Arabidopsis thaliana: one gene and its partners. The protein of the gene in region 1 interacts with the protein of each later gene in a pairwise test. Each region holds a gene or a part of one and is shown on either strand. Other genes may lie near its edges. The genes, in order: AT5G10570, SMZ and NAC088.

What was found.
Region 2: the proteins of AT5G10570 (region 1) and SMZ interact in a two-hybrid assay, tested with the Arabidopsis thaliana proteins (one large-scale study listed by BioGRID).
Region 3: the proteins of AT5G10570 (region 1) and NAC088 interact in a two-hybrid assay, tested with the Arabidopsis thaliana proteins (one large-scale study listed by BioGRID).

Annotation. Positions count from the first base shown.
Region 1 is NC_003076.8:3,336,533-3,347,158, reverse strand, and holds AT5G10570 (basic helix-loop-helix (bHLH) DNA-binding superfamily protein), read right to left. Parts: upstream 5,960-10,626; 5' UTR 5,803-5,959; coding exon 5,266-5,802; intron 5,024-5,265; coding exon 4,868-5,023; intron 4,646-4,867; coding exon 4,478-4,645; intron 4,369-4,477; coding exon 4,282-4,368; 3' UTR 4,080-4,281; downstream 1-4,079. Other genes in the region: AT5G10560 (Glycosyl hydrolase family protein), read left to right, coding at 7,808-8,551, 8,802-8,968, 9,079-9,176, 9,256-9,606, 9,694-10,110, 10,223-10,626.
Region 2 is NC_003074.8:20,370,117-20,381,783, reverse strand, and holds SMZ (Integrase-type DNA-binding superfamily protein), read left to right. Parts: upstream 1-5,261; coding exon 5,262-5,680; intron 5,681-5,794; coding exon 5,795-5,820; intron 5,821-6,171; coding exon 6,172-6,202; intron 6,203-6,347; coding exon 6,348-6,435; intron 6,436-6,568; coding exon 6,569-6,717; coding exon of another isoform or gene 6,718-6,748; intron 6,749-7,522; exon of another isoform or gene 7,523-7,524; coding exon 7,525-7,604; exon of another isoform or gene 7,605-7,818; coding exon 7,819-8,066; downstream 8,067-11,667. Other genes in the region: TON1A (tonneau family protein), read right to left, coding at 86-172; AT3G54980 (Pentatricopeptide repeat (PPR) superfamily protein), read right to left, coding at 8,936-11,491.
Region 3 is NC_003076.8:6,052,033-6,061,302, forward strand, and holds NAC088 (NAC domain containing protein 88), read left to right. Parts: upstream 1-5,740; coding exon 5,741-6,184; downstream 6,185-9,270. Other genes in the region: APY2 (apyrase 2), read right to left, coding at 53-258, 541-633, 715-771, 879-1,007, 1,671-1,991; SIP1;2 (Aquaporin-like superfamily protein), read right to left, coding at 3,166-3,324, 3,425-3,700, 4,079-4,375.

The DNA of each region.
Region 1 (10,626 bases):
CGTAATTTAAATTAAGGTTAATGACCACTTGTCCCCTTTTAGACACATTTTTTTGAATTTTGTCCCACATTGCCTGTATATTCGTACATGTGATATCTAATTGTCCGTATATGTAGATAAAGGAGACAAGACTTAGATTAGATGGTTTTGGAACATGTCACAGAGATGATAACAGAATATAACGTTTGTTTTTTGGTAAAAGGTGAAATTAAGAAATATAACGTTTGTTGTAGACGATGATGCTATGTACACATGTTACACTATGACCTAACTTATCTCCACGTCATTACGTTACTAGTCTTCTTCAGTCTAGTGCATTTCTTATTTTCTTTTATTTTTTGGCATACAAAAAGACATCCCAAGTCGAAAATGTTCATCGCTGAATATCAAACATCAATTTTCGTATTTATTGCTCACTGATGATTTTACATCGACTATGGTTTTAATCATGATCATCTAAAGGAAACGGGTTTACTCGAGCATAAAATTTGGTCATTTCTCCTTAGGATCCTAGATCTCGATCGATCGTGGAATAGGTGCACTAATATTTTTTTAATAAAACTAATGACAAAAATGATTAAATGAAAGAAATTAAAGTAACTTTTAAAGTTTCTTGAACATGAGTCAGACCCAATTGGCTAAAGGTTGGTTCATTTCTTGTAGTTAAAGAAAAATCGTGCTTGTTGAGATTAAACACCCTTTGTCCTTTCTACATATACGACTACTTTTATACCTTTTGCTCACACTATTTTTATGAAGATAACATAATATACATTAAATATCTACGGACTCTACAAATAGAGATGCGTTAACATGCAAATTCTCTATAAAATATGTGCATGCTTTATACCAAACACATAATAGTTATAAATATGTTGAGCTGAGAGATATGGACAAAACCACTTGAGTTTCAGGTTTAGCCTTAAAAGGTTTTAAAAACCAAGGAGCCGTAACGAAGTGTCTAAAAACCCTATCTGATTTTTGAATAAGACAGATCAAAAACGTAGTTGGAAGCGTAATTAATTAGAAACCGATTGTAAATTTGAATCTCTAAGAGTTCAATTCAACATCTATGTATACATGCAGTTTATTCGAGTTTGGTCTAGTGATTTTATTTGGGCTGCGGAAAACTTTTGCCAAAATACGCATCACAATTTATAAAACATGTGCATGCTTATTCGAATAAAGAAAGTAACCTACATGACCCCCAAAAATTCAGGGAATGTTCCAATAAATCTTGATGATTCTTCTTGATAAAATTGTAGTATATTTTAGTACTAGAAAACTAGGCACCCATTTTTAAAACCTGGCCAGAATAGATGCTCATGGATAGCTAGGCCTACTCATGGAGAAACAAATTATAAGATTGTGGAATAGTAGTATTGAACTATCTTGTAATTTTCCATGTGATAAAATACCTAACTGTATTTCTAAATGGGTGTAGTTTTTGTGATTCATGCATGAATCGACTTATCTATCGGATGCTTATAGTATATATATTCCGCACGCTATATCTGACGTTTTACTTTTAAAGTTATACAACTCTATTTAATAATCCACCAAGTACATACATTCCTTAAACCAGAATATATATATGTACATACAATTCATCATTTCATTTGTTTTGTTTTTAATTAAGACTCTCAGAATTTAACTCTTGAGTATTACAACACGGTCATGCTTGTTGTTGAAATTTTCTTTTATATATAATTTTGGTAAAAGAAATTAATATACAATATTTTTGTTGACGATACTAACAAACAAAATTAGACCCCAGTCAAGTTTATAGTCTAATTAATAATGAAATTGAATAAGTTTCTTATCGTGCCAATACTTAAATTTAACACATACGTAATTAAATACAGTATCTGCACTATAAGAAAAAACAACAATTAAAAACAGTATTCACGGCCTAAACCAATCGTTTAAAGATTTGTCTTCTTTGGGGACAAAGAAAAAGAGAGAGAGAGGGTGGTGGCTTCGTGCGACCCAATAACTAACTAACAACAACACTACGGCAAAGAAATGAAGCACTCACATGTCTTAATCTTTTACACGATTGCTTTAATTATGATTTATTAACTTATTAAACAGCTCATCTTATATGAGTATAATAACAAATAAGGAAGCTCTCGTCAGCAAATAGAAATTGTGAGGTCCACATTCGACCATATATTTTAGTGTATAAACTTCGAAACCTAACCTACTCGCACAAACCTCTAGTGCTCTAACCTACCCATATTTTTCCTTTTTAGTTAATTGTGCATACTTTTTGGGTTCACCGTTCATTTTAATAGAAAAATAATTACATTTTTGTCTTAAGATTGATTTGTTTCTATATGATTATTCACCTGCTTGCTTACAGATTACTATTAAAAATTCTATTTTACATTTGTATATGTAAGATGTGATTATTTTTATTTTGTCGGCGTAAAGAAGTGATTTAAGATTTGTGTGTTAAAAATGAAGACGAATGAAAGAGTCCTGTTTTATCTGCTATTTTGATCTGGTTTCTCGTTTATAATATTTTTAAATCAGAATAAATAGTTACAAAAACAAAAACAAATTGTGTCTTTATTATAAAGTTATGTTTTAAACTTAAAATAAAAATTTCTTTTGATAAGTGGACAAAATTTTAAAACTTGTTTTTTTTCTACCAAATGAATTAAGGTTTTCAGTGGCGGTGTCTTTATAAAAAAAAACTTTATCTTATTTTCTTTTTAGTCTACAGTCTTTACCTTTTTTTATTATATGAGTTTTGTATTATTTTAAGTTTGAATGGTGACAATAAAACTTTATTCAAAATTTACGCATAACCATATCAAACTATCAAACTATGTTTTATAAACCATTAAACATATAGAATATAGGATAAGTTAGGTATAAAAACAAATTTTGGATCAAAATAAATCCTCTGATAATCTTATTATGTTCAAGAATTACAACGACTGCGGTTAGACCTATAAAGTCCATTAATCTTTTTTCATGTCGAGTGACCCATCACTAGAAAGGCTTGAAATGGGCCTATGTGTAATCAACCCTTATGTAATTTCTTTTTTTTATAGGAATCAAGGGAAAATAAAATTTCTTTTTTTATAACATAACACGACGTTCTTACAGAAATTTGTCCCTTTTGAAAGATCTTATTTTCATAACACAATCGCCTGGTATGTTATGTAGGATTGTGCAGATACATTAGATATTTTCCTCTAATTAGTAAAATAGACATGTCATATCCATTAATATAATTTTTCATGTCCAGTAGACCAATGACAATAACTATAGACGGTAGAAATGGGCCTAGGTGCAATCGAAACCCTTCTTCTTTAGGAATCCGAAATAAACCGGACGAAACACAATCAGACAAGATCTGGTTTCTGTAAACACATCAGAATTGGGACGGATAAAGTGGAATAGCCATATAGATTGAAAGAATGTGCTTAAGACTACTAGACCAGCTTCAAAGACGATAAAATCTCAGCAAGTCTGAAGAGCAGAAGCATAATTTGATCTAGGAGCAGTTAAACACCTCTCATGTCATTGTTTTATTAACAAGTAGGTTGCCTGAATCACCGCTCCCATTACGAATCATATCATAATCATTCATAAAATCAAATAAAAACAAGCAGAGATTAAAACATGTGAGAACTATCTCAGCGTCCAATATCGAGGGAATCGATTTCGGACAGAACTGAGATAGATCTCCGATTGTGGTCTTTTTTATTTAGGGCGCTGCATTCATCTCTATGGCATCGTTATTTTGCTAAAGAGTCAAACTCCAGTCCCGATTGACATTAAAAAAACCACCAAAACACATAAACCATAAAAACAAATCGCAAGAAAAAAAATTAGCACAGAGATCTATCGAACTATATAGATTGATAATAAGCTTTGAGTGGCCGATTCTCGGATAACTTGATTAGGGTTCAAAGTTAGACGCAGCTATTTAAAGAGGAAACGGATGGAGCTCGTTAGGTCAAAAAGCTGGCAGAATTTTAGTGGACTTTATTTGGGCTTTAGTATAACAGGGCTTATTGGGCCCAAATGAAAACTCTTTTTAACATTTCTGCTCTCTCTATTTTGCATGTTTTATTAATGAGTCGGATTAGAAACCGAGGGGTCAGTCGAGGAGACTAATTGGTAAACATCAATGAGTTCTTTTTACACCTTTGATTTTCCCATTTATCTATCTCCTTATGAAATATCATACTCATCACAAGAGAATAAGAAGAACCGGAAAATATTATCATCATTAAAAAACATTGCAATTTTGAAGCTCCCCTACAGACATCTTCCTCCATAACCTGCGTTTCTGATTAGTGCTTGTTTAGTAGCTTCCGAAGTAACCATGTATCTCTGCTCACCAACCTACATATATACGAAAAAAACAGAATATAACAGAAAATAATTATAGAATATACATTTAATTTGTCGATGCACCAAGTAAGGCTAAATCAAAGTGTAATAATATTTGTACCTCAAAACAAGAAGCCTGCAATGAGAAGTCACTGAAGCAGCTAATGACACATTGTTCAATCTCTAATCCTAGAGTCTCCAATGTACTAACCGTTGATACAACCAAACCCGGTTTCGTAGGACAACATATATCAATATGCGTATTAACTTCCCTTTGATCTACTTCAAACTGCAAAAGATTCGTTTTCGTTATAGCCAGAAAAATTGTCTGCACCTTCAAGTGATTATAATTTTTTGAGTGATATCTAATGGGAATCAAATTGATTCAAGTATATGATGAGGGTGTTTGTAACAAATGATTTGTAATGGGATGAATTTGTAAAAACACAAGACTTATGAGTACTGAAGCACAAATACCATAATAACATTATGTTTTGTTTTTAGCTTTTACCTTTAGGGAGTTTCTGACCATAGATTCGTTTGTAATGAGGGTGCTTAGATGAGAGTTGCTTCCAAGTTCTTGTTCGTCTTCTTGCAACTTGTTAATCTTGTCCAAAAGCTCCTTCATGTAATCTATTGCATCTCCTAGTATCGATGTCCTATCCATCTGATTTTATTATATAATAATCATCAAAAATTATATACATTTTCTCATACAACAAACTCTATGCAGATTCACAAAAAGCAATAACCTTTTATCAGTGAACAGTGTACCAAAAAAAAGATTTCAACAAGAAGAAAACATACATGTAACGTTAAGAACTTAACAAAAAAGGAAGAATATTTCTTCTTGACTTAAAAATAAAAACCATATAACATGTGACAAGGATGAGGTTTATGGAATTTGACCTTGGTGATTTTAGGGACAATGGATCGGAGCAGGGAGAGTCGGTCATTTAACCGTTTCCTCCGCCGTCTCTCCGCCATAAGATTCTTCGAAGGCTGACCTTCAAGCTTCTTGTTACTCCTTTTCTTGTTAGTCTCTCCGATGCTTATGAAGCTCTTGCTTTCCTCCATCAATGGTGAGTAATTGTTGGTGTTCTCTTGCGAAGCCGGAAGGATCAATGGAGGAGGAGAATAAGAGGAGTGTATGATATCCTCGAGAAAAGGATAGTCGAAAGCGGAGGAGAGCGGCGGAGAATCATAAAGAGGTGACGACGGTTGTGGTGGTTGATGAAGCAATGGAGGTGGCTGAGAAATTAGATTCATCAAAGAAGAAGAAGAAGGATGATCAATGTTGTCGTCTTCTTGGAGAAGATTGTTGAAACAGAGGTAATCGAAGTTCCAATCATTTGGGACGAATTGGTCAATCGCCATGAATCCTCCATTAACGCCGTTGAGATTGTTGCTTTCTTGTTTTCTCAATTGCGTCAATTCCGTTTCCATCTCTCTTTCTCTCTATTTTCTGAAACTCTGTTATTTGTGAAAGTGGAAGTGAACAGAGTTTGTGAGCTTGGGGTCAAAGAAGATACAAATGCATGTAAATGCATTACATAAGTGTGAATTGTAATGAAGAATTCACTTTTTAACTGATTAGAATTACTTTATTCCATTTGACATATGTATATTTATGACTTGTTTGTTACATAAAAAGTGGATTTTAATAGTTAAAAATATATATACAAATAAGTAGTTTTGTCTAGTTGTTTAAGGAGAGATCCACTAGAAAACATTACAATTTAGTGTGTTTGTTTTTGATCCATGGTCCAGCACCAACCTATGAGGCATAAGCTGAGATTGATGAAATTTTTTTTTTACTTAATATCGTTTTCTTTTGTGTTGTTGTCTGAATCGTATTATTATTGATGGTTCGTTTTCAGTGACGATATTAAGTAATTTATACGTTCTCTTTGATCGGAAAAATGATCTGACCCACAAAGTATGTCCCGGCCAAAATGAATGAACATCATCATCTAGCTCTCTTCCTTAGTCAACTTATGTATATGATACGAATGGTATTTAATATTAGAAATATCAAATATGAATAATCAGATGCTTACAAAAGTAAGAGATAATGGTCTAGATTTCGAGATTGAGAAGCTGCCATCATATTTGCTTTTTTATTATTATTATTGGATAGGCTTTTGGCACTGAACGTTAATAACATGGAAAAATCTTGAATAGATATATATTATTGTGAGTTTTTGCCATTTCAAAAGTACTCGTATCCGACGATATCGATCAATTACGGGAAAAAATAAACACCCGTGTCTCTTCTAATAGACATAATTCCGCAAATTATTACATTGTGGTGTATCAGTGTATGATTGTATTAATATGGAAAAAGAAAAGACTGACAGGTCAAAGAGATCGAAGAAGGCTTAAGTCAAAGAAATTTGTTTCTTATATCAGAAGCGAGTTGCGTGAGAGTTTGTGGACACACACTGTCTCCTACTCTATCTTCACTCCATTATTTACTACTCAATCGGATATCATTATTGTCTGCATTATATAAGTTGCTTTTCTTTGACAATTCATTGTTTTCATTTCTCAACATTTAAATTGAAAATTAACAAAATTTCATATATTTAAATTTCTAAACTAATCATTCTTGGATACCCATTGACTTTTTTTAAAAAGTATGTGTTTATCCTAATAATTGTTGGTTTAACTAAAACCAGGGATCAACAGTTGGGTTGACAAAGGTTTAGTAAATAAAATAAAGTAACAACCATAAGAAAAAAATGACACAATTTTCAAGGTGAATGCATGCAAGCAGAAGCAGGGATAAGAAAAGATGAAACACGTGAATAAGCTTCAGCCATTATGTGCTATGTGACCATGACTAAGCCACTATGGATGCATATTTGAAAATTTTGGGGTTGTTAGTTAAGTTTCAATATTGGGTTTTGAGTTTTCGGTTCATTTATTTTAGAGAGTTTTACACCAAAGTAAATAATTCTGACTTTTAATATAACTACAATACATAAAATTTGGTGGTTTTAAAATTTTTGTTATTTACAATTAATATTTTTAAATCCTTGTGAATAAAAAATTTATATACAATTTTAAAATACTATCATTTTTAATTTTTTTAAAATAAAATTTAATGTTTTCTTTTGTCAACTAGCTAGAGACACTTGAAACCCACCCATTTGTAAAAGTAAAATTATTCAAGCATTAGTCTACAAAAATTGTAGACCTTGATTAGATAAAGCCCCAATTCATAAATGTTCACTGATCTTAATTAATTACTATAAATCGATTAGATAAAGGCCCATAATGATTTGGCCCCTCTACCGTCCGTCAAATGACAAGTAACAAGAAACAGCAGTGAACCAACCGGTCCAACTGTTAATTTAGATTTTACCGGTCTATTTAGTTCGGTTTAAAACTATACCTTTTAGTTTCCTTTTTCACTCTTCTCTACAGATTTATTTTCCTCCAAAATATGAATCTTCAGTTGACTCTAATCTCCTTACTCTTCTTCACTTCCGCCATAGCTGAAACCTTCAAAAACCTCGATTCTCATCCACAGTTCCCTTGTAAACCTCCTCATTTTAGCTCTTATCCCTTCTGCAATGTCTCTTTATCCATAAAACAACGAGCAATTTCTCTCGTCTCCCTCCTCATGCTCCCAGAGAAGATAGGTCAGCTCTCAAACACAGCTGCTTCAGTACCCCGTCTCGGTATTCCTCCGTACGAGTGGTGGTCGGAGTCTTTACACGGACTCGCCGATAACGGTCCCGGAGTTTCCTTCAACGGTTCGATCTCCGCCGCTACTAGTTTTCCTCAGGTAATCGTATCTGCTGCATCTTTCAATAGAACGCTATGGTACGAGATTGGATCTGCTGTTGCGGTGGAAGGTCGGGCTATGTACAACGGTGGTCAAGCTGGGTTGACGTTTTGGGCTCCGAATATAAATGTGTTTAGGGATCCGAGATGGGGAAGAGGACAGGAGACTCCTGGTGAGGATCCGAAGGTAGTTTCCGAGTATGGAGTTGAGTTCGTTAGAGGGTTTCAAGAGAAGAAGAAAAGGAAGGTTTTGAAAAGAAGATTTAGTGATGATGTTGATGATGATCGTCATGATGATGATGCTGATGGGAAGCTCATGTTATCTGCTTGTTGTAAGCATTTCACTGCCTATGATTTGGAAAAATGGGGGAATTTCACTAGATACGACTTCAATGCTGTGGTAAGACTAAGAACTCTTTTCTTCACTATGTGTAGCTTGTGTATCAACTTCAATTGGATTTTAATTGAGAACTCTCAGGTTTAGTGGATCAGGTTTGACCTAAAATAGAATTAAATCTATAGACTTTATTGAATGCACCTTTCTTTGGTGTTCATGAAACAGAATTTAACTAGTTATATTGCTTCTGGCTTTTGCATTATCTCCATGGTTCTGTGTCGAACACTGAGTCTAGCTTACTCTGTATTAGTAGGTCACAGAACAGGACATGGAAGACACATATCAGCCCCCATTTGAGACTTGTATAAGAGATGGTAAAGCTAGCTGCTTGATGTGTTCATATAATGCAGTTAATGGGGTCCCTGCTTGTGCGCAAGGAGACTTATTACAAAAAGCTCGAGTTGAGTGGGGATTTGAAGGGTAAGTGAATCTTCAACAGGGAAGGAGAGAAAAACCTGATTTTTGTTTGTGATGCTTTGGTTCGGCCAATGAAAGATTTACCGGGGAGTCTTTTTCTTGTATCTGTGCAGGTACATTACATCAGACTGTGATGCTGTGGCAACTATTTTTGCGTACCAAGGATATACCAAGTCACCTGAGGAAGCTGTTGCTGATGCCATAAAAGCAGGTCCTTTTGAGTTCTTTTAACACTTGTTAACTTGTAAATAGGTTGTCTTAAAATGAAATCTGAGATTGTGAATTCATAGGGGTGGATATAAATTGTGGAACATACATGCTTCGGCACACACAATCTGCGATTGAGCAGGGGAAGGTGAGCGAAGAACTAGTAGACCGAGCTCTGCTAAATCTCTTTGCTGTTCAACTTCGTCTTGGACTTTTTGATGGTGATCCAAGAAGAGGACAGTACGGAAAGTTAGGATCAAATGACATTTGTAGCTCAGACCACAGAAAATTGGCACTGGAAGCAACAAGACAGGGTATCGTGCTCCTGAAAAATGATCACAAGTTGTTGCCTTTGAACAAAAACCATGTTTCTTCATTAGCAATCGTTGGTCCAATGGCGAATAATATAAGCAATATGGGCGGTACTTATACAGGTTCGGACTATCTATCTTCTTGTTATTTTCAAGCAGGCTAAATTTTTCTCCTCGCTGAAACAGTTTATAAATGTCATATTTGTAAAGGAAAGCCGTGTCAACGAAAGACTTTGTTCACGGAACTTCTGGAGTATGTGAAGAAGACATCTTATGCGTCTGGTTGCTCAGACGTGTCTTGTGATTCTGATACCGGATTTGGAGAAGCTGTGGCCATCGCCAAGGGAGCGGATTTTGTCATAGTAGTTGCAGGATTAGATCTCTCTCAAGAAACCGAGGATAAGGATCGAGTTAGTCTTTCTTTGCCTGGTAAACAGAAAGATCTTGTGTCTCATGTTGCTGCTGTGAGCAAAAAACCGGTGATTCTTGTTCTAACCGGTGGAGGACCAGTGGATGTAACGTTTGCTAAAAATGACCCGAGAATCGGAAGCATTATCTGGATTGGTTATCCAGGTGAAACTGGTGGACAAGCACTCGCTGAAATCATATTTGGAGACTTCAATCCAGGTTAGCCTATCGCAAATCAAAGCATCTTCTGTTCATCCCAGTTTATGAAATGCAGAAACTGAATACTAAAGCTTTTTGGTTGTATATGGTTTTGGTTTCGGTTCAAGTGTAGGTGGTAGATTACCGACAACGTGGTATCCGGAGTCATTCACGGATGTGGCAATGTCGGATATGCACATGAGAGCCAATTCATCTCGTGGATATCCAGGAAGAACGTACAGATTCTATACCGGACCTCAAGTTTACAGTTTTGGGACCGGTTTAAGCTACACGAAATTCGAGTACAAGATCTTATCAGCACCAATCAGACTTAGCTTATCGGAACTTCTTCCACAACAGTCTTCTCACAAGAAACAACTACAACATGGAGAAGAACTTCGATACTTACAGCTCGATGATGTGATTGTTAACTCTTGCGAATCTCTGCGGTTTAACGTTCGTGTTCATGTGAGCAATACCGGAGAAATCGACGGTAGTCATGTTGTGATGCTGTTTTCGAAAATGCCACCGGTTTTA
Region 2 (11,667 bases), on another chromosome or scaffold:
ATTTCAAACGAATCACTTCTCTGTTCTCATTTCCACTCAAAAATTTCTGCGAATAATGTATGGTAGAGAAGTAGAGGGAATTTACCCGGATCTTAGCGAGGACACCTTTCTTCTCTAGGGTTCGAGTGACCAAAGTCTTGAGATCCATCATCTCTCTTGTATAATCGTCCATCACAAAATCAAATCAAAGTAAGGAAAATTAGGGTTTCTGGGTGTAAAATTGGATTTGGCAAAATTGGGGTTTTTGGCCGTCGGGAGAGAAAGACGTTGAAAGATGATAAAACGAAAACAGTAAAAGAAAAATAAAAACAACACTTTTGCCAAATCATCCCCTTAAAGATTGATAGTTTCCACTCTCGTCCGAAATTTTAAATTTTGATCTTTTGCCCCCTATGATTGTGAAATGTTTCTTAAATGTTTTGTCTTATCTTCCTTTTTTGAACGAGAATATGATGTCAAGTTCACATTTTGAGATGTAACTCAGAGATCACAACACATTTGCATTCATGGACAGAAAAATCATGAAGTTCGGTCCAATATTGCCAAGCATATGATATGAAATGTGTATGAATCATATTAGTTGTTTGAGCATTTTCTAGTGATGACTGACTATTATTTGATATAGAATCTCAGAAAACGAATGAACAAATAAGCATTAGATTTTCCACTCGCAAGTTGGGTCAGATCAAGGGCAATCGCTCCTTCTTAGATTATAATATTGGATGGAAAGGCCTAACCTTGCTTGTCGTTGGAGTTGTATGAAACTTTGGTAACTTTAGTGTTACTCTAATGGATCAGTATCATCTAGTTGTACAATATTGACATACTACACTTACTAATTAAAAAAAAAACCAAATTAATTAGTTACATTCAAGCAAAATGGGAAAGAAAAAGCTAATGAGGATACGTGTTTACGAATGAGCATTTGAGTATCCAACGCTTTGGGTTTGTCAATGGGATGAATCGGAATAGAAGAAGGCCCAAGAAAGAAGAAAGTCCAAGCTCGACTCTTGTGTTAATTATTAAATACTATGTATTGCTTGTGATCTTATAACTTAAAGTAGAGAGAGTACTTGGAACTACTTTTCTTTCTTCTTGTAACTGTGTATTGCTTGTGGTCTTTTAACTTAAAGTGTAGTCGATTCTTCTTATAAGAAAGAAGCCAAGAAACTTATTTATAGAGTTTGAACCAAAGAATATGATCAAAAACGTATATAAATCCGATTTCTTCAGTTGTTTCTTGTTTCCATTCTCAGTTTTATTCACCTACTTCTGTTCTGCTTCTTTTTATTACCATTTTAGTCCAACGGTTATGTAGCTTAGTGTTTTCCATTTTGATGTCACATACTCACCCTCGCAAGTCTCACTTCCCTATATAGCTAAAAGAAAAGAATCAGAACTAGTTCAGGACTTAGGAGCACATGGTTTTTTGGAGAGGGTATTCTCGTCATTTTAAGCATTGGCTTTTGGGGGAAACGAGGAGGGGAAGCTACCACGTCGCCCAAAACTGTTCCCACATATATGCGTCAAACATTAAACCGAAAACGTTAAAACAATTTTTTTTCTTTATATAGAGATTTGACAACAAATAATAAAATAAAAATGCCCACCAATTATCAAAGAATATGGTTGAATCTTCAATTATTCAATTTTATAACGTGCTTCATGCGTTTCCACTCGTTTCTCTATCACCCCTTTTATAGATCTACTCTACCAACAAGCCCCATATTTATTAATCTTAGCAATCGCTTCTCAATCTCCCTCACATACAAAGTCCATAATTTTCTGGCCGGAGGCTAATCTTAGATAATATTTGTGTTTGACCTACTAACGTATATCATATTTTCCCCAAATGTATCATGGTGTAGTTCCTAGGTCTCGAATTCGGATCCAACAGAACCCTTCTAATCGATTGAACATAACCAACTATGAACTATATATATTTAGGTTAAATTAAAATTCTATCATGAATTTACTATATATGTGATGGAAAAAAAGATTCGGGATGAATGAGAAACTGGTTTTGAAGCTAGAATAGTTTTTAAAACACTTTAAAATCATGTGTTTATCAGATGTGGTTTCATAACACTATGTTCCTACTAAATACAAACATCCTAATTCGTTTTTTAAGCCAACAATATGAGTTTTATTCATATTTTAAGTCACAATCCTAGCTTAATATAAGACTTCAACAAAAAATTTAGCAAAAAATTTGGGTCCGAGTTGCAACCTACAAATAGATTGTGTTGTTTAGGTGTAGAAAATAGAGACTATAAACATAAGTGCATAAAGCACAAGGTTAACAAAGAAATTGACCCATCACTAGTAATATTCTGATAAAAATTTCAAAGCAGTTAAATATCAGAGATTTTTGCATATAGTACACGTTCAAGTATTTTAACCATTTCAAGAAATTTGAGTGGTAGACAATATTTCAATTTTCGATTGAGTAATAAACTTTGAAGTGTGTAGATGACTTCAAAACACATTATCATTGTGAATTATAGGGTAATACGTTATTGTGCAATGCAAGTTATTAATAATGTAAGAAAAAAGGTTACTCTTTTACCTATTGGAACTAGAATGAACAGAGATATTTAGTCTTACCAAATAAGGAAAGGCCGATTCCTTAAAATCTAATATTTTCTTGCATATCTGGATAAATTGAACGGCTGGGATTTGAGAACCAACTTATCATCAAATCTATCATAATTATTTGTAAAAAGAGAGATATAGATTTGGAGTGAGTGATTGGTGAGTGGTTGAATAATATGACAATTGACATAACCCCACTGTCCCTCTGTCTCCATTAAGGTTTCTCTCTCTTCCTACTCTCAATACAATAGTAGTAGTTGGCATATTGGACCCATCCTTTTTTTTTGGTTTAGGCCCCAAACGTGTAAACATCACACCATCTCTCTTATTCTTTATTCATTGACTATAACACATTTATCATTTTATTGTATAGTTTATGTTGTGGTCTAGATTATCATCTTTCTTGTTCCTCCAATAATTTGGAATTGAAGATCCATCCCACTAGTGATAAAGAAGAAGAAAAAAAAGGCTTGAGGATGAATGTGTTAAAGAAGGATAGTTAAAATATTTTAAATGGTTTATTTAAATTTATGACAGTCCATTTGAAACTCCTTTTCTTCACCAATATTTCAGTATAAAGATGAAATGCAAATGGTATCTCCTTCTTATAGATTAAACCATAACCTAAATCAACTCTTACGAAATCTCAGTTGATTGTGATTTATGTATATTGGGATGCGAAAGCACAACAACTAGGTTTAATTTCTTCTAAAATGTGTGATAAATAAAATATAATATAAAACTAACAAAAAAAATCTGTCGGTCTCTCTAATTTTTCGTTGCTATGTTTTATCCATATATCGTAATCTTTAATTTAAATGGAAAAGGGTTGTCCTTTGGCAAAATAAAGAAAAGAAAAAGAAAAAAAGATAGAGAAAGGATTGTCCTGATTCGTTAAATGACGCATAGAGAAACAAAATCACATGTGGGTTTATTTAACACGTTGAGAAGATACCATTGCGACGCGAAGTACCAAAAAATCCCTGACCGTTAGATTTTTTTTCATATCTTGACACGTTGGAATCACACGAGGGACCTATCAATAATTGTTGTCGCTAAATGCCAAATTTAATGAATTTTATCGAAAAATAATGACCTAATTTTATTACTAAAATGCAGAGAGTAGACGATGTTAACCGGTTAATTTTGTTGTTGAATGCTTTAAAATGTGAAATAACTATGTTGAATTGTGTTTCATATTTTCTTTTTTAATCGTATAATTTACTAACATGTTAGAAGAAATTACAAATTCAGATATAATATAAAAATTTATTTATCCTTACCAAAAAAAATAAAAAAATTATTTATTGGATTTTACCCATCTACTATTCATTCTCATCATTAACTTACGTTTTCCGAAAATCAAAGATATTTAGGTCATTTTATGTAAGGAAGGATAAAAATAAGTAATGATTAAGAAATAACATTTAAAATAAAAAAAAATTGACAACAACGGCTCATTATTCCTCAAAATTCTAAATTTTGCTGAGAAATTGTGTTACCAATAACAAACATAATCGCATCGATAATCGCTATATAATCTGTTGCTAATTAAGGATAAATTGAAAATTTGTAAAAGTCGGCAAATTCCTAATATTGCTAGATTTAGGTTGTTGAAAATTTCAGATATTGACTTTTTAGTACTTTTATAATTGATGGGGCTATCTTATTTTCAATTATATTTTGTTTGTGGTCACACTAGGCCTAATAACGTACACTTGTCAATTAAGAACAAATTTATAATCTTACAGACAATTCCACATTCGAGCATGCATTAACAAATTTCTTCGGCATTAAACTATATCAAATTAGAATGCTTTGGTTTGAAAAATAAAAGTAATAACGCTTGTTTTTTGATATAATGCATAGAAATTAAAAACTACTTACTCTTCAACCAATCACAATATAATACGTCCTTTAAGGTTTGACTTTTGGTTTTGATCTTAATACTAAAACAACATTAAAAAAAAATTCTTAAACTCTTTATGATGTTATCTATTTTGTTAAACTTGTCGATGACTTGATCAAAAGATGTATCATTAGATAAATCAAGTAGCTGTATTTTACGAGGGAAAAATAATCTATCATATTATATTCACGAGGTCTCTTTACCAAGTAGAAGGCTAAAGAACATAAGTAATAGTATAAGCTAGTATCTTTATACTTTACTCTCCTCACCTATTTGATGGCATTAGTTTTGTTTACTATTTTAAAATTACAGGTCGACTTCACTTAAAAGGAAGAGAAAACTTTTGTTTTTGTTATTACATCGTATTAACGCGGTTGAGTTTACAACATCAAAAGTGTTAATATATAAAAACTCATCGTACAACCCTATCTACGGCTCTCCCATATTTAATTAACAAAAATGAAAACTAATATATAGTACAAAATATGTTTATTCGATACATCGGCAAGGCAAGTACAATCATATAATTATAGAAATCAATTTTATATATAAAAAAAAAGAGTTGAAAAGGCAAATAAAGGGCAAGTGTATCCAATGCAACCTTCACAGTGAACACGTCCCACGTTCTTTTTTTTCTTCCCTCTTTTAGAACTCTCTCTCTCTCTCGTTTTTGACACTTATCCTCTCTCTTTTTTCTCTCTCCCTCTCTCTCTCGCCGGAAAAAAGAACAACGTCGTTTATAGCTAAAGATTCGATCATGTTGGATCTTAACCTAAAGATCTTTTCTTCTTATAACGAAGATCAAGATCGGAAAGTACCATTAATGATCTCAACCACCGGTGAAGAAGAATCTAACTCATCTTCCTCCTCCACAACAGACTCTGCAGCGAGAGATGCTTTCATCGCTTTTGGAATTCTCAAACGCGACGATGACCTTGTTCCTCCTCCTCCTCCTCCTCCTCATAAAGAAACAGGAGATCTCTTTCCGGTGGTGGCTGATGCTCGTCGGAATATAGAATTCTCCGTGGAAGACAGTCACTGGTTGAATCTTTCTTCTTTACAAAGAAATACACAGAAAATGGTGAAGAAGAGCAGAAGAGGACCAAGGTCTCGTAGCTCCCAATATCGTGGCGTCACTTTTTACCGTCGCACCGGTCGTTGGGAATCTCATATTTGGTAAATCAAATTATATTTCATTTTTAATATTATCATTGCATTTTTATATTGTTATTTGTTGAATTATTGCTATATTTATCTCTAATTTTGGGTTTGGAATTGATTAATTTGTAGGGATTGTGGAAAGCAAGTTTATTTGGGTAAGTAGATCAGATTTTTATTTAATTATTGGGTCATCTTTAATTACGTGTGTGTCTATTTTTAGGCATAAACGATGAATTTTAAAACAATCGTATTTTTGTGATAATTTTGATTTGTAGATCTTCTCTGACAACGTCTGTTAAAAAAGTTTATTTTTTGTCAACTACCTCTATTCTTTTTTTTTTAAAGGATGTATGTTTTTTTTTTGTAAAAAGACAAAAAAACATAATAGACTATTACAGCTCATTTACCTATGTTTGTTACTTCTGTCTTTCACGTTTAAGTGAACACAAGTTGATTATTTGTATTAATCTAACTTTTTTTCCTTGACTTAATTTTCGTTTTAACAGGCGGGTTTGATACTGCTTACGCAGCAGCAAGGTAAAATATATATATATATACACATTATTTGTTACAACATTCGTCATTTGAATATGTTTTAATTTTGTCAACATATACACATTAGAGTTTGTTGAAGACAATAAATAATTAATATCAATTTGACTTATTCATAAATGAATACCAGGGCTTACGACCGAGCTGCTATCAAATTCCGTGGTCTCGATGCAGACATCAATTTCGTCGTGGATGATTATAGGCATGACATCGATAAGGTTAAACATATATATATATATATATATATATATATATATATATATATATATATTACGTTATGAAGATGATTCATTTCCCTGTATAGTTCGAAATAATACATGTGGATCTTTAAAATTATCAATTTATGTATAGATGAAGAATTTAAATAAGGTGGAGTTCGTGCAAACACTTAGGCGAGAGAGTGCGAGTTTCGGAAGAGGAAGTTCCAAATACAAAGGCTTGGCTCTTCAAAAATGCACCCAATTCAAAACTCATGATCAGATTCATCTCTTCCAAAACAGGTACCATTTTGTTAGACACGTAATCTTTTGACAAGTTTAAAGTGCAAATAGTTAGTCTTATTAGTATGAATAAAATATGGTTGAAATATTCCCTACTTTTTGATGAAATGGCCTAATTTTACTATTTACACAATCTACATCATGGAAAATACATTTCACTTGGCGGATCATGGATGACAATATTATAAATCCGTCACTTATCTTAACTATATTTCACCTATATTCAATTTATTTTTATTCTATCTATTCATCTAGCTAGTGCTTTACCATTCAAAGCCTAACCTTCACTTTTTGGAAAAGTTATTGTCGTCTTACACAATTTTAAAGTTTGCTGAAAAAAAGTTATAAACTAGCTAGCTAATTAATAATATTTATTTTTATATACTACTAAAAGAAAGAATAACTTTTATCCAGTTCAATCATATATACATCAATTAGTCCATATATATACAATTAATCAAAACTAAGTAGTAAAAAAAAAAAAAAAACTTCGTGAAGGTACAAAATTTTCTACTCAAATTTAATTTTCTAAGTGAATGGCAATTTTCAAATACTTTTACTTATATATCCCCCTCAAACTATACCAAGCCAACGTTACGTTTGTTTCCATTTAGGTGCAAGCTTGAAACCATCGTCCGTTTCAAGAGTTTGATACTGTCGGGGATGATGGTTTCTTAAGTTTACCTTTTATGTTTCGTTGTAAATGCTTCACAGAATACCATTGTTAAAAAAAAAAAATGAAACAAGAGTTAGTGTTATGCTGTGAATAAACTTAGAAATGTTTATACGTATGTGCAAAATTCGTAGGGGATGGGATGCAGCAGCAATAAAATACAATGAGTTGGGAAAGGGAGAAGGAGCCATGAAGTTTGGTGCCCATATCAAAGGTAATTGATTAATATGGTGTGACTCAGAATGTAACTAAGTTTATTATAAGGCATGGTTGATAAATTTAAGTGAACATTGCCAATCTATATATAACACTAACCACAAATTTTACATATACTTTAAATCTGATCAAGGAAGCTAGCTAACCTTTTCATAAAATTTTTAGCACTCTCCATTTGAGCAACTTATCCATTAACATTGTCATTTTTATAGGAAATGGTCACAATGATCTTGAACTAAGTCTCGGAATTTCATCATCATCGGAAAGTATAAAGTTGACAACAGGCGATTACTATAAGGGTATCAATCGGTCCACGATGGGTTTATACGGTAAGCAATCATCGATATTTTTACCCATGGCAACCATGAAACCTCTGAAGACAGTTGCAGCATCATCAGGATTCCCTTTTATCAGCATGACAAGTTCCTCTTCCTCCATGTCCAATTGTTTTGATCCATAGGATCGTTCTACACTCTCTTAACTAATATATATTTTTACTCTATCTGATTATTGTATACAAGGATAAAATTTGATTCTTTCCTTAATGAGTGAGAAATATTGGAAGTGTTTGTTCTAACTTCAACTCGAATTATATACCAAACGTGGTTATCATCACGAAGAATTTGCACATAAAAAAGCTAAAAGCACATCACCACCAGTGGGCAGTAGCAACTAAGAGTCTTAGACCAAGCTATAAACTGATTAACCCAAAACCATCATTTATGAGCAAAGTTGATCTCAGAAGCAGGCAAAAGACAGACAAATAAAAAGATAATCCGAATCTTGTAACTTAACGGTTCCGATAACTATAACCTCGCAGGCTAACCGGTGGATATTATTCTCTGTGTCAGTTGCAGGTTCCTTTCTGGGTTTTGAATCTGGCAGATTTCAAAAGGGCTTTGTGTTTTCCTGTTCCAGTTCACATGGAGTAGCCTTACTCGAGCAGACGATATGCTAGAAGAATCATATGAAGAGTTTAATAAGGACTCAGTGCACTGGTTTCATCACCCACCAACATAGATGCCTCAGAAGACCTTGAAAAACTGGAACCTGGTTTCAGTTGGGAAATAAAGAAGCTCAGTATAAGAATACAGAGTCAAATTATTCTGGTTTGAATTCGTTCTATGTTTTATAAAATTGACAAAAACAGAAGGCCCTTCTTAGTTTCTTTACAGAAAGTCTATAGAGTCTCCCTCTTTCATGAATAACAACATTTATACTACAACCGTGCAAAATGAAAAGTGCACACCTTAAGCAGTCATATTATCGGGGTCTCACGAAAAGCCAAAGCTAAGTCATCAGTCAATAATGTGGTCTGGTTTTGGCAGACTACAAACTTGCTGCACGTACAGGTTGGAGGTTTCCGACTTGCCCACTAACTAGAATATCAAATGTAGCACCATCGGGTAAAATACCCTTGTCAAGCATCTCATCGTGAAGTCTAAAAGCCTCATCGAGATTTCCTTCTCTATAATGTCCGGCAATCACCGCGTTGTAGATAAGGACATTCGGAGTGACATTATTCTTCTTCATCTCCTCAAACATCTTAACCACTTTTACAAACTGCCCCTTCTTGCTAAGACCGTTTACAATTACTGTGTAAATGATTTCATCAGGGACAAGACCCACCGCCTGCATTTCTGTGTACAACTCAGAGGCCAGGATCAAATTTCCATCTTTCAACAATCCATCAATCAGTGTTGTATATGTACCCAGATCACATCGTAGACCGTCTTTCAACATTTTCTTGTACAAATCAAGGGCTGCTACCATGTTTCCCAGATTACGAAATCCAGAAATCAAGCTGTTGTATATAGGTTGGCTTGGATTCAATCCTTCTTCAAGGAGTTCAGAGAACAGAGCAGATGCGCTTTCCATGTTACTCCTTTTGCAGAACCCATCGATAAGAGCACCATAGGCTGGAATATCGAGTTTGACACCTTTGTTCTTCATTTCGTCTCTCATTTCCAATGCTTGATCCATTCTGTTATTTTTGCATAACCCATTCATCAAGCTGGTATAAGTTATGACGTTTGGAGAAATACCATTGCCACACATCTCTTCGTATGCTGCAACCGCAGAATCCATTTCACCCTCTTTGAAAAATCCATCTATAATGCTATTGTAACTCATGCAACTAACACATAACCGTTTTTCTTCGATCATATTTGCCAACAATTCTCTTGCTTTGGATGTCTGACCAACTTTGCATAAACCATTGATAATTGTTTGGTATACAACCCCGTTGACTTCAATATTGGAAGAAGTCATATGATTGACGACTTCCAAAGCGTTTTGTTCATCATGATTCCTGAAACATCCATCAATCAGAATGGAATACGTGTAGTTATTCGGCTTTAGACCCTTTTCCAGTATATTTGAAAAAACAATACGAGCCAAGTCCATGTTTTTCTGTCTGCAGTGGCCAAGCATCACGTTATTGTAAGAAACTACATTCGGTCCAATACCTCTACTTTCCATCTTGCTTAATAACTCTGTAGCTTCGTCTGTCTTACCTTGCTTGCATAACCAGGATAATATAGTGTTACATACAAACACGTTTGCAAGACCGGTTTCAAAAGACTCGTCAAAGAGTTTCAGTGCCTCTTCATGTTTCTGACCTTTCAACCACCCTTGAATTATCGTGTGGACATGAAAGACAGAAGGAGTAAGACCTAAGACTTCCATTTTCTTGTAAAATTCAAGCGCCTTTTCCATTTCCCCGTTCTTACGAAACCATTCTATCAGAACCGAAAAAGTAACGCTGTTCGGAGAGGGGCCTTCCTTTTCCATCTTATCAAACAAAACCAAAGCACTAACCAAGTCATTGTTCTTGCAGTGTCCCGTGATCAGACTCGTCGCAGCAACTACATTCATCGATATCCCATCACTCAACATCTCATCCTTCAATCTAATTGCATCATCCATATTACCTTGCTTCACAGAAGCCAAAATCACAGAAGTATAAGTTTCCTGCGACGGGACACACAACTTCTTCTCCTTCATCTCTCTCAATAAACTATTAGCCATAGCCAAATCAAGCGTCTTGCAACAAGCCTGAACAGCAAGACTATACAGTAAACTATCCGGTTCTGCTCCTCTCTCAATAGCTCTACTTAAAACCTCCAAAGCCTCCGCAGGCTTTTCTTCTCTCAAACTAGCTCTCATTAACAATTGCGTTGTTACATTATCACCATCAACACCAATGGCAACCATCCTACTGTAGAGTTCCTTAGCTTCAGTTAACGAATTCCTTTGAACTAAAGCACTCAAGGTCCTATTCACATATGGAAAAAATGGAATCACATCTAGTTCCAACATCTGGTTGACGATATCCACCGCATGATCCGTTTGCCTATCTTTAGAATAAGCATTCAATAAGTAATTAAAAGCTCGTGAATTGACTTCAAACCCAAATGATTTCGCCGAATCCACCAATTTACTGACCAAAACACTTGCCATTGGAGTTGGATTGCTCGTAGAAACGTACCGTATGAGCAAATCACTTGCACGTCCATAGGTCTCAGGAGAACTGACCAGAATATGAATGAGTACCCAGAAGACGTCACCATCTTCAAAACTTCCACGCCATGGTCTAGCCCAATTATAGAAACGAAGAGCAGCTTCTGGGTTGTTCCTGCGATTGAGAAGAACATCGATTACAGATGCATCGTCCTTCTGTTCAGGCTTCGCAGACAAAAGACTCACTTTGGAGGTAACTGGGTTTTCTTCAGAAGTGGATCCGTAAACTAGTAGTCTCTGCTCTTGACTTGGATTCTCAGATTCTTTGGGAAACTGAGACTGTGAACAAAAGGGTTTATTGTTTCTCAAGTTACGAAGACGAATCCGTGAAGGGATTTTTCTAAAAACCAATAAAGATCTCATCTTTCGAGGTTCTTCTCTCAACTATCTTCAGCAGAGAAAAGATGATCGGAGAAATAAATAAAAGAGACAACTTGAAATCCCGAAGATACACCAAAAAAAAAAAAAAAGAAGCTTAAACCCTAATTATGTCTATTAAACGGCGTCGTTTTGGGGATTATTCCTTTTTAAAAACGTTC
Region 3 (9,270 bases), 2.7 Mb from region 1:
TAGAATAGCCTAAAACTGCCTCGCTCTTTGAGAGACGTAAGAGGTGACAAACCTGTGAACATAGAGGAAATACTTCCGTCCCTTCAGATACATCTCTCTGACATATGAATCCTCTCCTTCTAATGGTTTTGGTGCACTTGCAGCATCTTCCTCAGATATAGCATATGCCATTTGAACAGACCCCCCTCCAAGATCAACCACTCCTACCGTATCTGAGTATGGTTTTCCCAAGTTCCTTAGCAAGTAGTTAATTGTTACCTGCAAAGTTAAAGCCCATTAAGACAAAATGTCAGCTTGATTAGAGGTTGGTGAGAGTCCAACAGCTTGAGTTTTAATACTATTTTACATACTAGACTTTGAACTATTACAATTGCCATAGTGAAACACTTCTTATTGAATAATTAAGAAACTAGAAAGGATACCAGTCCAGAATTTACTTCTCCGAATGGAGACGATGAATATAAAGGCATAAACGCAGACACATGAGAAATACAGCAAGATGATTTCATATAAGACACGAACAAATGTGGGACAACATACCCACTGATAAGAACCTTCCTGGGTACCATCCAGTACAGTAACAGCATTTGCCTCAGTTTTCAGCATGCTTCTATCTCTCAGGAGTTCCCTAACCTTATAAACAAAAGTATAATACAGTATAAGAGCTAAGTGACCTGGCGAATGTGCATGAAAAATTTATGGATATAAAATTACCGCTTGCAAAATGTTCTCAGATGCATCATGACCCAGCGTCCTCAAACCTGCAGTAGCCTGACAAGATTTAGAGAAGAAAAACATTTCAATTGATTCACAAAAAAACAACGATAATACAAGATAGCTTCAATTATTCTACGTAAGGAAAGAATTCGTTTCCATACCCCAACTCTGACATGTGTCTTTGGACGCAGCTCACGGGGAACAGAAGCTTCTGCTTTGTCAAGAAGAGACACCAAAGAGTTTGCTGCTTGTCGGGGATCAGTAGGATATGCGCTCAACCCTGGTTTTAGCTGAAATCAAATCAGTAAATAGCTTAGAGATAAAGTTCCAAGAAGCACCACTAAACTGCAAATTAAACAAGAAATTCAAGCCACCGCAATGTGATGAAACTAGTAACTAAATGATGCAAGCGAGGTGAGTTCAAGTTTTATCTTAGAATTCCAGGAACACAGAGCACAAGTCAATAATATACATTGAAAGCAAAGTTCTAAGCTTCCCGTTTATCCTATTGAGCTTTACCTCAGGGCAAGAGATATTACCATGATCAAATCTAGAGGAGGATCAAATATTAAAAATCCTTCATCATCCAAACGAATAATCTTCTTCTAATCGTTTTCGAAATGCGTTCTAATGGCAAATTTCACATAATTTCAGTTTTTAAAGATCGTCGCATCAGGAGATAAAGTTTCATTGTATCTCAAACAAAGTCATATTAGCCCTATTCGATCCGTTGGGAGATGCAAGCTTCTTCACCAAGCTCTAGCAAGTAAGCTACACAGTGCAAGCCTTTCCACACACAAACAACCATATTAACATAAAATAACACAAATGTACCACAAATCACCATAAGCAATGAATCAAATCTCGGGAATGACACAAAGATCTATCAAGCACTTATTAAGCCATAGATTATGATCCAGAAAGAGGAGAAAAAAACGAAACCAATGTATCACCTGTAAGAAGAGCTCAAGTTCATTCCCAAGAGGAATAAGATCCAAATTCTGATCAAAACAGTAAACATGTACACGGCTACCAGAACTTCCAGCATCAAAAATCACAGCGTAATTCTTCGGACCTCTCGAATTAGGACCTCCTTTGCGATTATGCACAGAATACTCTTCAACGACGGAATCAGAAATCGATCTCCCAGGCATTAGCAGAAGAACGAGACCGATCAACACAATGGGAACCGAAATCACAAGTATAATCCCACGATGGCGTTGGATCTTGTCAGCAAGAGATTCGTGCCGTCCAATCCCACGCTTCGCCGTCATCTTACCTCCGTCAACAGAGTCGGATGTAGGAGAATGGTTACCAGACTCCAGGAGCTCAGTGGAAGAAGGCGAACGGTAGCGTATCTTACCGTTGCCGTTGCCGGTACCGGAGGACGCCGTGGTCTGCGGCGGATCCTGTAACGGCTCCAGATCGACGGTGAATTTGGGAAAGCGGCTTGAATCGCCGGATTTGATCTGGAATCCGAAGCTTGTGTGTGCTTCAGATCTGAATTTTGTATGAGAGAGCGATGGATGCAAACAAAAGACGTTATGGGTTACGATTGCGGGAGATGGGTAACTCCCAACTATGTTTAACTCTCACAATGAGCTTACGCATAAATTAGTTAAAGTTGATTTTTTTTTATATTGAAATTAAACAGTAGTAATAAATACCAAAATATTTAATTAAGTACTTCCTCTGTTTTAATTTATTTGTATTTTAAAGTTTTTGTTGAAAAATAAATGCTATTCATTAATATTTTTTTGCAAAAATTTATGATTATTTATTTCTTTTGATTATATTGGTATTATGCAGAATATTTTGTTATTGGTTGCATATATTATTTTAAATAAAAAATGACGTTATAGTATAAAAAAGATAAACAATTTACATAATTTATGTAGTGTCTTAACTTTTTATGTGTATGCAAAATTCTTAAATTATAAATAAATTGAAACGAAGGGATTATCACTAATATTTTCACTAACAACTCCTAATTTTTCATGAGATTTTTAATTTGACTGTTTACTTTTTATATTTATTTTTTTTGCAATTTTGTGATAGTGAAACTTGGTTGAATCGAACTTGGTATAATTTGATAAAAATCAAAGCTAAGTGGATATCAAAACCATATAAACCTGAGCTGTATGAAATTCGGTTTGAGTACTCTGGTTAATAGAAGTTGTAAATCGAAAACATGAACCTTAACCGGATTAACCCACCCTGACTCTCCTTCACGTACCGAACTTAACCAATACTACTCAACCGGACGAGAGTGAATTTGTAGATTACGCACTAACCGAGAAAATGTGAATCCATAAATTTTAAAAAGAAACGAATTTTTTTTTTGGGCTATAAACTATAAATTAAGTACAAATACGACAACAGCATAAAACATACAACAAATGGGATTATGATTCATGAAATTTTTACTTAGATTTTTCCATTTTTTTCTCAAGCTTTCTTCTGTTTTTTCTGAACCAGAGGTGGAGCCGGAAATATAATTCTAAAGAGCATCGCAGATAAAATAGCTCCGGTGTAGGAGCTGATCCAATACACATAAAAATGGTCCCATGTGTTGTGAGACTTGTAGATATATGCCCACCCAAACGCCTGCATCACAATATATACCACAAGACTATATATCAAGATTCATTTCAAAATGTAATAAAAATGAATTAACAATTCTTGAGTAGGACGAGTATGAACTTACAATGGCAGGATTCATGAATGGTCTAGTGAATTTAGAACCTACGACAAACACCGATACGGTAGCGAGTGCGAGCAAGAACGTTTTCGCGAGCAGTTTTCGAGGACCTCTTAGGATAATTAGTAAAACCAAAAATGTAACACTAAAACTTAGGACCACTTCAGAAATAGCTCCATTGTGTGCACCAAATTGCAATGAAGGCTTTCCTCCAATCCTAGTCTTATACTTTTCCGGTATCATCTCCATGATCGTTATCGCACCGCCTGCCGCACCAATTGCCTAAGATATATAAAAGGTTACATTACATATGGAAACAAATATGCCAGTGGGTACTTGGGCCAAAATCTCCAATTAAAAAAGTTTGTACGTTATTCAAAAACACACATGGACCACACACAATAAACTTCACATAGATCCAACAAACAAAGAAAATACATTGCTCTAACAACAAAATAAATGTAAAGAAATTCATAAACAATGTGTAAGGATAAAACTTTAATAGATTCTTATTCGAAGAGACAAGACACAAAAGCAAATACTCATATGAAAAGATGTCACAAGTATATGAACAAAAATCTTTCTGTTCAGAACAAAATAAAGAACAAGAAGAAGAAGTTGGTTTGGTTTCAAAAGCTAGCTTAGATCATAAACACACACCTGAGCAGGAGATCTAATGGCCAAGGAGAAGAGAGAATCACTGGAAACACCGGCGGTATAAAACGCTGCGTTTCCACAAGGATTGAAGCTAGCACCACCAAGAACGTTTCCAATAACCGTAAAAATCGAGATGGAGACAAAAACAACCAACGTTGAGATCACAAGAGGAGCCCAAGTGATACCATGAAACCCTACGGCGGAAACAATCGCCGCCGTCTGTATCCCAAACGTCGCCGAGAGAATAACCCACAAAAAGGTTATCACCATATCACCTAACGCCGATTTTACCGCACTCATCGTAAGTATCGTTTTTTTTTCTTTTTCTTGAACGTTTGGGTTTAAGAAGATTGTTTTCTTCTTGTTGAAAAGAATATATTTATCAGTCCACTCAAAACTAATATTCTTTTTTTATATAGAAGGAAGATATGTATGACTATGAGTGACTCACCTAACGGTTAGCTGAATTTTGTAGAAATGTAGATAGACTATCCCAAATTTATATAGAAAACAAATATACTTTTGTAACTCTTAGAAAAAGATAATTGAAAAGTTTGTAGAGAAAAAGATGAAATCCTTATGCTCTGATTAACATAGAGGGCCTGTTTAATTCCAAAATGGGTTTGTTGTACAAAATATGTAATGAGTTCATTTCCATATTCTCTGCCACCTCAAATGACCATGGTTCCTTTTTGGTGAGCTCTGACTATGGAAAGTCTATACTGCTTTTTTTCTTTTTCCTTTTTAGTGTACTAGTGTACAAATTATAATGATCAAATGAATGTAGACACTATTGAGAACAGATACATGTAAAAATTAACTTATAGGAATTGAGCACAAACAAAAACCTTTTTTCTTTCCTTTTTCCAGTATATATTAGAGTAAAAAAAAATGATATACATAGGCTGGTATATAGTCAAGATATTATAAAAAAAGAAAAAAAAAGGACAGAACCTAAACGAGAAACATAATTTATGGTTCTGCAGAAAGTATACCCAAGAGGCCAAGACCCCCTCTTGGGACGAAAAAGAGAGAGTTTGTTGCATTTCTTGATATTCAAGTAATGAGATCGCATGTTATTATTAGCATAAATTCGTTAAACGATATTAGCTAAAAGAATTAGGATATGCTTATGAGCATAAGTATCAGGGGTCGGCCCTGAGATTTTATTGTTATCTAACCTTAGAACCCAAACTTGTGGTCTGTTTAGCCAAGGTTAAGAAAGAAAGGTTAACCAAACCATTGCTGACTATTGGACTCTAGATAGGCCCAGCCCAGTGCGAAACCATACAAATTTTTTTGTTTTCCTTTTGTATCTCCTCTACATAATTTTTTTTTTCAAATTGATGTGTTTGGAATTATTGGGCCACAAAATAAATGTCTTTAGTTTTTTGAAAAATTATTAACTATTATTCGTTTATTTTTTTGACATCATTATTATTCGTTTGGTATAGCCCTGTGCCTATTGGATTTATTTTTATAAAAATAACATGAAAAACTTGTAAACTTTCCTTTTTGTATATTTATATATATCCAAAACTAATCCAAATTAGATAATATTCAATAGTCGGTTCTCAATCATACTCCACTTTATATAAACCTCATTAGAGGAGGTTCATAATTAATTCTCTCTCATTTGACTCGAGGAAATTTCAGAAGAAGAAGATGATGCCGATGACTGAAGAATTTTACGATGAAGAGGAAGAGCTTGGTTGCTTTAGATTTAATCCTTCAGAAGAAGAACTCATACTCGATTATCTTCTACCAAAGCTTGGCTTCCACCAACCAAACACGATATATTTGTTAGAAGACAGGGACAACATCTACGCCAAAGAGCCGTGGCGGCTTAATCACACAGAGAATGATATCTTTGAACCTAACGAGTGGTTTTATTTCGTGAAAAGGACAAATCGCAAAGTTAAAGGTTGGAAAGCCACTGGAGAGTTAAAAGATGTCGTGTCGAAGAAAACCGGTGAAGTGATCGGGAAGAAGAGGAATCTCAGGTTCTACGTTGAAGGTGATGAGAGCAAAACGAGTGGTTGGACCATGAGGGAGTATTCTTCCATTGGCAATCAAAACCAACGTCTCTGCCACCTTAAAGGACCATGATTCTGTTTGGTGAATATCCCTCAAAAATATGATGATTATGGAAAACGATGACTTCTTTTTTTTTTTTTTTTTTCTAAAGGTAGTTACGTTACTCATCATCATTTTATTTCGTTGTGTTTCGTTTGAAGATTCTCCCGTATTCTTATATCTTTATTAGTATACACATTATAAGTCAAGGATCTGAGAGTCTCAATGTTTTCTTGTTTATTTAATTAAAGATTATTCAAGTTTTTTATGAGGAGCTTTGCAGCTCTTCGCATGTTACTTTTTTCATAGATAACAATAATGGTTTCCTTTTTTTTCCGAGGAAGACAGTACGTATTATTCATATAATGTATGAAAATATAATGAGATATTAATATTTTCTTGAGAAATATATGAAATAAAGCTTGTATCTAAACTCTAAATCCAAACCCTAGAGTAGAAGAGGTAAACATGTTTCAACAAACTTTTATGATAAGAACTTATCTTTTGTACGTAGTATATATCAACAAAAAAGGAAGTTTGCTAGTTTTCTTGCTCTATTTAGTCAATCTATAAAAGATGAAAAAAAAAAAACGATATTGCTATTTGATTTCCTATATTTTTGTATGAATTGATTGTAGAGGATTCTTCTTCTTCTGAACATATTGTAGTAATATATATATTTTTAAAGAAATATTAGATCGAATCTCACAAACGGAAGAATCTTTCCACGTTTTGAGGAATACGGTCTGTCACTGTCACCTACACATATGAAATATAAGTCTGTTTAGGGTTTTTAGCGTCGGTCTTCAGATTTTGTTGGAATAGGATGTCCTAAACATCAAAGATCTAAAAATTAAATCAAAATTGAAGAAAAAACCTTAGATACAGATCTATTTTTGGACATTTAGTCACTCTTTTGGACGCTTCTTTGGACACACAAACACACATACCTTAGACACATTTTTCAAACATTTAAAATTTTAGATCCTCTATATTTGGATCCCATCATTGGACAATGTCAAATATAAATCTAGTTCAAATGTCTATTTGTAAATTTTTTATTGTAAAATATGGATCCCATTGTTGTAGATGCTCTAAGGGAAAATACGTATGGTCAATTTTGTCAAGATTGAGAAAGAAAAGTTGAACCATATATAATATAACTTAACATTGATTATGTTTTTCTTGTGGTATGTTTTGTTGTTTTGTTGTTTTTAGTTGTAGTTTTCAGTCTTACTCTCTTCTTTGTTTGATTGTTTCCCTATTAATCGCTGATGCAATTCAAAAATGGTATAAATATTTAACGTTATAAATTAATATAAGGTGAGCAGGAAAGCTTTATATTTCTTTATTACTTGCAAGTTTCATTACTTGTATTTCATTTCAATATTTATAGGATAAAGTTTTATAACATAAAAAATATAGTAGCTTCAACTTTTGTTATTATATAGTCTATGCAAAACCATTTTAAACCGACAGATAAATGCACACAACTGACAAATTTGTTGTTGGTTGAGGTATGGATTGGCAGCAAAAAGGAACTTTTAAAAATGTGAACTTTGACTGTGAATCTCCCAAAAACTCCCAACTTCTTCACCGTCATCGTCAAGCTTACGCCAACCACTTAATTTATTACACATAGACTATCATTTTTCTAGAGACAACCCATAAACAATAAAGCTACTTTTTCAAATGTAACCCCCATATTCTTTTTGTTTTGCTTTGTCAATAAATGTAAAGCCATTTTTTATTTTGTAACTGAAACATTTTCATTACTATTTGGCTAAATTAGCTAAACTTTTCTTCAATCGTTTGGCTCACGCTTCTTTTTTTTTTTTTTTAACGCGTGCGTTTAATTAATCTAAATGCAAACCATAAATCTATAAATACTTTTTACTAAAGAGAGTCAGTTACTCAAATGGTGAATAGCTTTATCATTCAGTAGCTACAATTTACGGGAAAAGAAGTAATGGTATCCAAATATTTAATTTATAGTGCTCTGAAAGATTCACCATATATTGAAAAACTAGAAATAGAATTTTTCTATTACCATTTTAATTATGGTAGACAATGTAAAGCTCATGTTTTTTTTCTTCCCAAATCTTGAAAATGAGTTGTTTAGATTTTTAAACTAATAGATGTAGTATTTTTTCCAAAGTCAATAGCCATGGTTTAGTTACAGAAAATAAAATGGCTACGATTTGGTCAAATGATTTATGGCTTGTAGATTAATATTCGATATTTAAAATTACGAGGATCATAAACAAATGGATTGAATAGGACTATAGGAGTGATTCATTTTCTAATTTTCCCATTGGGAAAATAGCAACTAGGTCAACGACAAAGAAAAGTCAAGACTTGTTTATTTCTGAATTCTGACCGTATATCACTCCACGAGGCCAGGCTCCTGCAACTCAAACGTCTGGTTTCAGTTTGGACCAATAAATAATTTTAGAGTTTATATCTTCTAAAATCAAATGTAGAATTTGCATGGATTATATATGGAGATATTACTAGTTTAAGATATCCTATAATACCAAAGTCATCCTCAAATGTAAACACTGAACTGTTTCCATTTATTAGTATAGACTCATTGATTGAAAATAATGGAAAACTATAGATGATGATAAATAAGGAAACATCAAAGAGCTAAGTATTTATAATAGCTAATAATTAAAAATTATATCCATCATAAACAAAATTCAGGAATTCCCATGTGAAAAGAAAAGTGGACCGACAATATAATAGTCAATCATCACAAATAGTAAGAACGTAACATAGCGTTAGATGCGTATTCATATAACATTATGAAATGCTAACTGATTGATTTTTTCTCTTTTTAATAAAGTGGACATCTTTGTCAACAAAATGGGTAGATTTTTTTTTAATGAACTGTAACGTAAAGTAAATGTGTCACTGACAAAACCTAATTAATAAAAGCCGTGGACTATAGCGCGTTTCTTCTCTCCTTTTTCACACCTTCCCCTGCACTCTTCACTTTTGGTTTTTGTTTTTCTTCTATTATAATGGTTTAATAAAATATATATAGTCTATATAATATAATATAATATGTAACAATGAAGTTTTGTATTCGAGTTTTTATCCAACAAAAATCAGGA